Linked DNA regions of Xenopus tropicalis. The protein of the gene in region 1 interacts with the protein of each later gene in a pairwise test. Links are inferred from orthologs where the notes say so. Each region holds a gene or a part of one and is shown on either strand. Other genes may lie near its edges.

Region 1 (4,405 bases):
ATAAGCATAGTCTATTTTAGTCTATTTTAGTCTATAGTCTATTTTTAGCTACTAGTAGCTCTGTGTGTCTTCACCCTTAAGGTGGCCATACACATAAAGATCCGCTCAAGGTTGCCATGCGAGCGGATCTTCTCCCGATATCCCCACCTATGGGTGGGCGATATCGGGGGAATTTTGACTAGTTCGAATTATAACGTCTGTATTAGGCACTATCCGTTCGCAGACCGCATCAACGAGCCGATGCGGTCCCTGATCCAACTGAATTTTTTAACCTGCCCGATCAATATCTGGCCGATTTCCAAGGGACCGATATCGGCATCTACAATCTGCATGTGTATGACCACCTTTACTGGCTCCATGCACCTTTCCCCTGCCCAGTCTGCCCATTTCCCTGACCCTTGCAACACCCTCAAATGTCACTTCCCGCCCACCAACCCAAATGCTAGTACTAGCCACAGAAAAAGGTAGCAACCCTTATCCATGATAGCTTTGCCACCTTTGAAGAGTTATTTTAATGGCAGGAGCGGAGCTATGAGAGAGCAGGGTGGGCACAAAGGAGTGGGATGTGACATAAAGGGAAAGGGTTATGGCGCAAGAGGGTAGTCAGGCTGAACTGGAAGGCCATTTTGTAAGTAGAGCTAGTCTCTTTGGAAGCTGCAAGGGCTGATGGGAGGCAGGCCTGGGGTGGATGGAATAGTTATCATAAATTTACAGACAAGTATGTTGCCAGTAAATTTGTTATGGGCCCCAGGCTTGTATATAGGGGCTAGGTATAGGAGCTGGGACAGAGAGAAGCTGCACTGCATGTTGGTTAGTGTGGGAGGCACATCAGCCCTGTGTCAGTCCTGTTATTATTAGAATGCGTGTGAGGGGTAGGGCTCCCACTTTTTCTGGGAAAACACCAGCTTTTCTATATTTTTTTGTTTTCCCTATTAATTATATATTTTTTACTAGCCAGCCTGCAACCCTAGTGATGGACATTCATTCCCCCTTTACTATAAACATTTACAAAGAGCCAACACACTCTGCAGTGCTGTATAGCAGAATGGTATAAAACATACAAATTACATATCAATAAAAACCCAGAAGAAAAAGGGGCCGGGCCCGGCACAATAAATTTCCCTTTACAATCTTGGGGGGGCGGGGTCGCACTTTTTCCCGGCTAGGTAGGGGATAGCTCCTAACAAATGACTGTGTTCTCTGTGTTTAACTCATGAAAACAAGAATGGAGGAAATGGGAATATTAAAATAGCAACACCCCACCCCGGAGTCTTCAACTTCCCGTTACCCTTGGCAACAGTCACGGGGCCGACTTTTCGGAAAATGACGTCACCCGCCTTGAACCCCGCCCACCCCTCCTTCCTGCTCCCGCCTTAGCCCCGCCCACCCCTCCTCCCTGTGCTCTCCCCTGCTCTGCCCGAGTGTGCGACTGCCTTTGTCTTCCGTCAGCGCCATCTCCGTGCCGTGACGTCAGTGCTGTGAAGAGACGGGTCGGGAGAAGGCAGCTGTGGGGAGGACTAGTTAGCAACTAACGGGAAGGGCTTCCACTTCGAGTTATTCTCCTGCCGGCAGGTAAGTGTCCCCCTTACAGCTTCTCTTCACAGAAACATTATTTTGGGCTGTCCCACCAGCAGCAAGGCAGAGGGTGGTTATTATCCTCCCTTAGGTCCATACAACTCAGTTTTGTTCTCCCCCCCCCCCCCATCGCTGTTGTGCTTCCCAGGCAGGTGTGCCCATTCAGTGTCCCCCAGGTGTGACTGGAGCCGGAGCCCCCCGGCAGCTCATTGGGCGGTAGTACGGGCCGTGGGTGGAACTATTAAGGAAGGGGGGGGGGGGGGGGGGGGTGCGACTCCTGAGGCCGGGTGGGCCGCTCATAAACACTTTCACTGAATGTTTGTGAAGGGCTTATTCTTATTTAATTTTAGGGGGTCCCCAATATCAATTTTCCTGTGGGCCCAATGATGTCTGGTTATGCCAGTGATTACGCCCCATTAGGGGACCAGCTCCAGTTGGGGCATAAAGGGCGTATTTATTGGGGCCCCATGTTCATTTGAGGGTCTTAAAAGCTGCCATAAAGGGGGAATAGAAGATATAGACATTTTTTGAGAAACACAGGAGGGTAGTTGGTTGATATGACTAAGTAATACAAATCCACCTTTTCTGTCTCACTCACTTTGGCCTCTTTATTCACTAACTTTGCCATTCTATTTCTTACATACGCTTGCCCAGCGCTCTCCTGTGTGGCTATTTCTAATGGTGGGACCATCCATAGAGCAATAGGTGCCATGGCATTGGCCAGAGGTCAAGTGAGGTGATTTGGATTCCTTTAAAATCTTGTTTCCGCTGAGCCATTTGCCTATTTTGAGTCCCCAATACCCAGAAGGGATTTGGGAGGACTAAGCCATGTCATGTGACCGAACGGCATTCTTAAACACCAGATTATCTGGTATAGACATTAATGTAGGGTTAAAAAAATGTGTTTTAGGCCTTTGGTTTCACTAACATCGTCTTTAAATAAGGTGAGAGACAGGAGGAAGTGTGAGAGACCTTGGGCACAGTTGTGTAGATGAGTTTAGGGAAGGTGCTACAGACACCTCTAATGGAGGAAGATCACAAGTTAAAGTGACTTTTTTCTGTGACATTTTTACCGTTGACCGTGTAAGGTGGCAGCCTAAAGAATTACATGAATGTGGCCATGCCAAAAGTACTATTTCTATTAATAAGCACCTACATCAGTGGAATTTACAAACTGGTAATTTGCAGGCTGGGTTTCCTGCCTGCTGAACGTCGTTGGTTAGCACACTTTATTTAATGTGAGTCAGGATCAGTATTGTGGGTGCATGCTTCTGGTCACGTGATCATTTGGTTGGGGGTGTGTGTAGGGGAAACATTATGTGGCACTATATATCTGTGAATGCAGGTTTGTGTATGTATATGTCCATCTGAAGGCCACATTCTGCATCTGTAGCTTTTTTCAGTGGTTTGGTTCGGATTCTAAGGGCTCTGGCACACAGGGAGATTAGTCGCCCGCAACAAATCTCCTGTGTCTCGGGCGACTAATCTCCCCGAAATGCCATCCCACCGGCGAAAATGTAAATCGACATTTATATTTACTTGTGTCTCTCATAATCAGCACATATAATCAACTGGTCAGTGCTAATTACAGGTGACGCATATAATTAAATCTAGCCATTAACAACTCTAAATTTACTTACTCTGTTTTTATTATTATTATTTTATGAGCCACCAGAACTTGAATCTATCTCTGTTGTAGACACAGGACATTTACCATACAGCAGCTGTGTTGGACACAGCTTAGTTTAGCTGTCCCAGGCGTCATCTTATAGGGACACGCTAGTCATTTAGTCACATTATGGTCGTGGCCATACTTTTCCAAGAAAATGTTGCACAGCACTGATCTAGGAGAAGATTTAGGCATTTTCCCTAAATCCCACCTTGGCCTTCAGGTTCACCCCCCAGTCACTGCTCTTTATCTACGGGGACAGTCTTAAAGGAGAAGTAAAAACTAAGTAAGCTTTATCAGAAAGGTCTATGTAAATACAGCCATAAGTACTCACAGAAACACTGCACTGACTTCTCTGAAAAAAGATTAGTTGTGTCTGTAATTCCTGTGCCAGAGACACGCAGCTTTCAGCTCTCTGCTCTCTCCTTCTCCCCCCTCCCTCAAGAATGTTAAGAACTCACAACCCCCCTTAGGAATGTGGATCTGAGCCAATCAGCAGGAAGCTGACTCATAGTCTTACTAACTGAGCATGTTCAGTGGTCTCGGTGTCTGTGCAGGAGTGAGGCATTATGGGAACTTTCTTTACACAGCTTAGGGTTTTTTCTTCCTGTTTGGCTTCTGATCATCTGAACAGGAGAAATGTGGGGAGACTTAAGGGCATTATTGAGACAACTGAAGGTATGCCTGCAGCTTGAGATTAACTCTTTACTAGCCTTTCCTTCTCCTTTAAATTTTGAAAACTGCTGATAAAGATTTGCAGACCGCTTTGTAAACCTAAGTAGTGCTGGGCGGTATACCGGTTTAACCGGTATACCGGTTTTTGAAAAAAAAACGATATGATTTTTGAACATACCGCTATACCGGTATGCGCGCCTCCTGCAGTTTTTATCCAATTACATCCGGGTTGCGCCCGTGCGCACGTGACGTCGGCGCGCATGTGACGTCGGCGCGCACGCGACGTCGCTAGGACGCATCGCTGGGGCTGGGGCTGGGGCTGGTGCTGGGGTTGGGGGGGTTGTGGCTGGTGCTGGGGGGTTGTGGCTGGTGCTGGGGGGTTGTGGCTGGTGCTGGGGGGGTTGTGGCTGGTGCTGGGGGGGTTGTGGCTGGTGCTGGGGTTGTGGCTGGGGTTGTGGCTGGTGCTGGGGTTGGTGCTGGGGTTGG
Region 2 (3,652 bases), on another chromosome or scaffold:
TCCCTTCTCCCCCTCCCAACTGTGCTGTAATCTGAGCTGCAGCACAGAAGCTACTGAGACCAAGCTAAAATGGCAGCTGCTATCTTATACAATCAGTGGGAGCTTCTAGGGCTGTTTAATCAGGTATGGCAAAGCTTTCTATAGAATAAATATAGCTTTCTAGCTTGCACTATTGTGCCTTAACAATCGGCAATAAAATGCCAAAATTAGTGATGAGTAAAAATTTTTGCCAGACATTGATTGCACAATTTTGCATTTCGCCAGTGGTGACTTTCACAAAACTGGCACAAACATTTGTCACTAACAAAAGTTCACTCAAGTGAGGAAAAAGTTGCGGTTGCATCATAAAAGTCATGTGCCTCAAAAAAGTTGTGCAGTAGCCACTGTGAAATGGGACAGGTTCGCTGATCACTAGCCAAAATGCCTTTTCTTCTCCCTTAAACTTCATATATTACAAATGCTATCTACCTCTCCCCTACATATTGTAATGATCCAATATGATCGAAACTAATAGGATTTATTGTTGTTGTTTGATGTAAAGAAAGTTTTTTTTCTGGATACCATAATAATATTGTATGTTTTGATAAAAAACATTTTGCCTTTTTCTCTTTTCCAGAAAGCAGTGTATCGAGCTTGAGCAACAGTTTGACTTCCTAAAGGATCTTGTAGCTACTGTTCCAGACATGCAGGGTGATGCTGAAGACAATCATACTGAAGGAGAGAGGGTGTCACGGAGGTGAGCTACTGCAGAGTAAGCCCAGTAAAGTGCACCACATGTGAATACATAACTTTCTGGTCATTTCATTGGAGTTGCTCTTTCCAGTTCATAAAAGCATAGCCTCAGTGGTGCAAGTAGTATTCACTGTAAACATATGGTAGTGGTAGTTATGTAGTCTTTTGGTTTTTACCCACCTGTACCTGAGACCATAACTACACTTTTAAGAGTACAAGAGAAAGGATGGATAGTAGGGAGTCAGGAGGCACTACAGCTAAGCCTGTTGTGTATCACAGAGGGGTACTTGTTAGCAGCCATCCATCCAGTGTTCCACCTCATGGATTTTTATATTGTTTTCTGTGAGAAAAAGATAAGGGGCTGGGTACTCCTTGATTTATCCCTGATATGCAAGAAATAAAATATTGATGTTTATATGCTACTGATTTAAGGATGAGACTGTAGTGGACATACGTTATATGCTATCAAGCATTTTAAGGGTAAAGACACACAGAGCTACTAGTAGCAGCTACTGCCTAAGGGCAGTGGCACACGGGGAGATTAGTTGCCCCGCGACAAATCTTTGCTACCACCGACGACTAATCTTCCCACAGTGTCATCTGACCGAAAACTTTGGGAAATCGTATCAATCGTATGTCATCCCACTGGCGATTTACATTGTTGCTGGTGGGATGGCATTGCAGGGAGATTAGTCGCTCACCCTAAATGCCAGAAAATACCCTGCCATAGACAATACTGAGAATTGCCTCTGCTAAGACACATGTAGAGCCAATTATCAGTAAATGATCAGCATTGTCTATTTTTGTTGCCGTGACAAGTAGCTGCTACTAGTAGCCCTGTGTGTCTTTACCCTAAGGGATTATAAATGATATTATGCCTTAGTTTCATGCAAATAGTGGTGCAGCACCCTCCAGCATGTCTATTCCAGATATAGTAGAATAAGTAACTAATATTTCCTGTAAGAATATTATATACCAAATAACATAAAAGCTAATTCTGCATATGTCACACATTCTTTTTTTTTTTTTTGTAACTCAAATTTTTTATTTGAAAAATTATCATGTGAAATACATAATACATATAAAACATTGCTGATTAGGACATCTTGATAGTTAGTATGTTGTGCTTTACTTTTAATACATAAATGAAAATAGCATAAGTTCAACAGTTGTAAACCTAATAAAACAGTGCATGCTCTGGTCCAGATCCTGTTACCTTGTGTGTCTTGTGGTTCTGCAACCCCTATCTTTATTAAGGTGTGGTTTTTAGTTTCCATCTGACATATTGTTTGTGCTTGTGTGAATTTCTGGATTTTCCCGTGGGTTTGATGCTAAGTAGGCTTCCCAAGGCAACCATATGTTATCATTCAATTGCACATTATTAGTTATAGAGGCGGTCATCGTTTCAAATCGTTTATTGCTCTCCACCCTTGTTATGACCTCGGATATGTTGGGGATATTGTGTGATTTCCACTTGGAGGTGAGCGCTAATCGTGCAGCTGTTGTGATGTGGTTTACAAGTTTTTGAACTGGGCGTTTGAGTCTCGCTATGGGTTGTCCCAGTAGAAGATGAGGTGGTTGAATATCTAGTGGTATTGCAAGTACTGAGGTGATGAGGTCGCCTACCTCTTTCCAGTAGCTTGTTACCAAGGGGCATTGCCATAGTATGTGGCTTAAGGTTCCTCTAGCTGTGCATCCCCTCCAACAATGTGGGAGGCTGTTTGGATAAATTTTTGATAGCCTATCTGGTGTCATGTACCATCTCATCATTACCTTGTAAACGCTTTCTTTCTGCTGTGTGCAGGTGACTATGTGATTAGCATTGTCCCAAATTTTTGACCAGGTATGGTCAGACAGTTCTATCCCGAGGGCCTCTTCCCAATACCGCATGTAGCTATGTTTGGGGAAGGGGTCCTCAGGTAATGTTACCATCAGTTTGTAGAGGTGAGATATTAAGCCCTTATAGGGGAATGGGGAGCTCAAGATTTTTTCATATGGGGTCAAGGGGTTAATTGCGATTGTGCCCAGTTTAGAGTTTATAAAGTGTTGGATTTGCAGATATTCCATGAACTTGTCTTTGGCCCATTTGTACTTCTCTTTGAGTCTTTCATAGGGGTAAAGTTTGATTTCTTGGGTCCATAAAGTTATGGATCTTAGTCATATTGATTGGTGCCCAGGTTGTTTTATGATTCCAGAGGAGCCCTGGTGAGAATTCAGGGTTTCCCAATATGGGGGTGAGAAGGGAGTGTAGCCCCAATATTTTATATTTCTTTTTGCATCTGTTCCAGGTCATGGCCGTGAATTTTATTGGGGCAGGTGCAGTATCTGGTAGTAGGGTTTTACCTTTTTCTACAAATAAGAGACAGCTAATGTGGTAGGGGTAGGTGTATGAGGCTTCTATTTGCGCCCACCTTGTGGGAGGTGTTGGCTGGATCCATGGTAGAGTTTGTCTTAATTGGGCTGCATCGTAATATTTGGAGATGTCTGGCACAGCTAGTCCTCCCTGTTGTCTGCTTGTGAGTAGAATTGATCTTGAGACTCTGCCCTTCGCAGACCCCCAGACAAATCTCAGAGTGTCCCTCTGGATGTTTTTCAAACCCGCTCCGGGAACTGTGACAGGCAGAGTCTCAAAAAGGTACAACAGTTTAGGCAGAATGTTCATTTTAATAGAGGCTATACGGCCGAACCAGGATAATGGGTAATTATCCCATTCCTTAAGGTCCTGTGTGATTTTTTTAAGTAATGGTATGTAATTTGCCCTATAGAGATCTTCATACTTGGGGGTGATGTGTATCCCCAGGTATTTTAGGTGGGATGTTTGCCATTTATATATGAAGGTTTGGGTTATTGCCTTTTTTGTGCGAATGTCTATGTTCATGGGGAGTGCCTCTGTTTTGGACCAATTTATTTTATATCCAGA

Evidence for each region.
Region 2: the proteins of sdcbp (region 1) and drap1 interact in binary tests that used the Homo sapiens proteins (3 or more experiments, as listed by UniProt). The two-hybrid records come from large-scale screens. The link is inferred for Xenopus tropicalis from reciprocal best matches to the Homo sapiens genes SDCBP and DRAP1.

What each region holds. Positions count from the first base shown.
Region 1 is NC_030682.2:116,370,319-116,374,723, forward strand, and holds the start of sdcbp (syntenin-1), read left to right. Parts: upstream 1-1,469; 5' UTR 1,470-1,572; intron 1,573-4,405. UniProt on the Homo sapiens protein: Multifunctional adapter protein involved in diverse array of functions including trafficking of transmembrane proteins, neuro and immunomodulation, exosome biogenesis, and tumorigenesis.
Region 2 is NC_030680.2:38,508,938-38,512,589, forward strand, and holds part of drap1 (dr1-associated corepressor), read left to right. Parts: intron 1-616; coding exon 617-736; intron 737-3,652. UniProt on the Homo sapiens protein: The association of the DR1/DRAP1 heterodimer with TBP results in a functional repression of both activated and basal transcription of class II genes.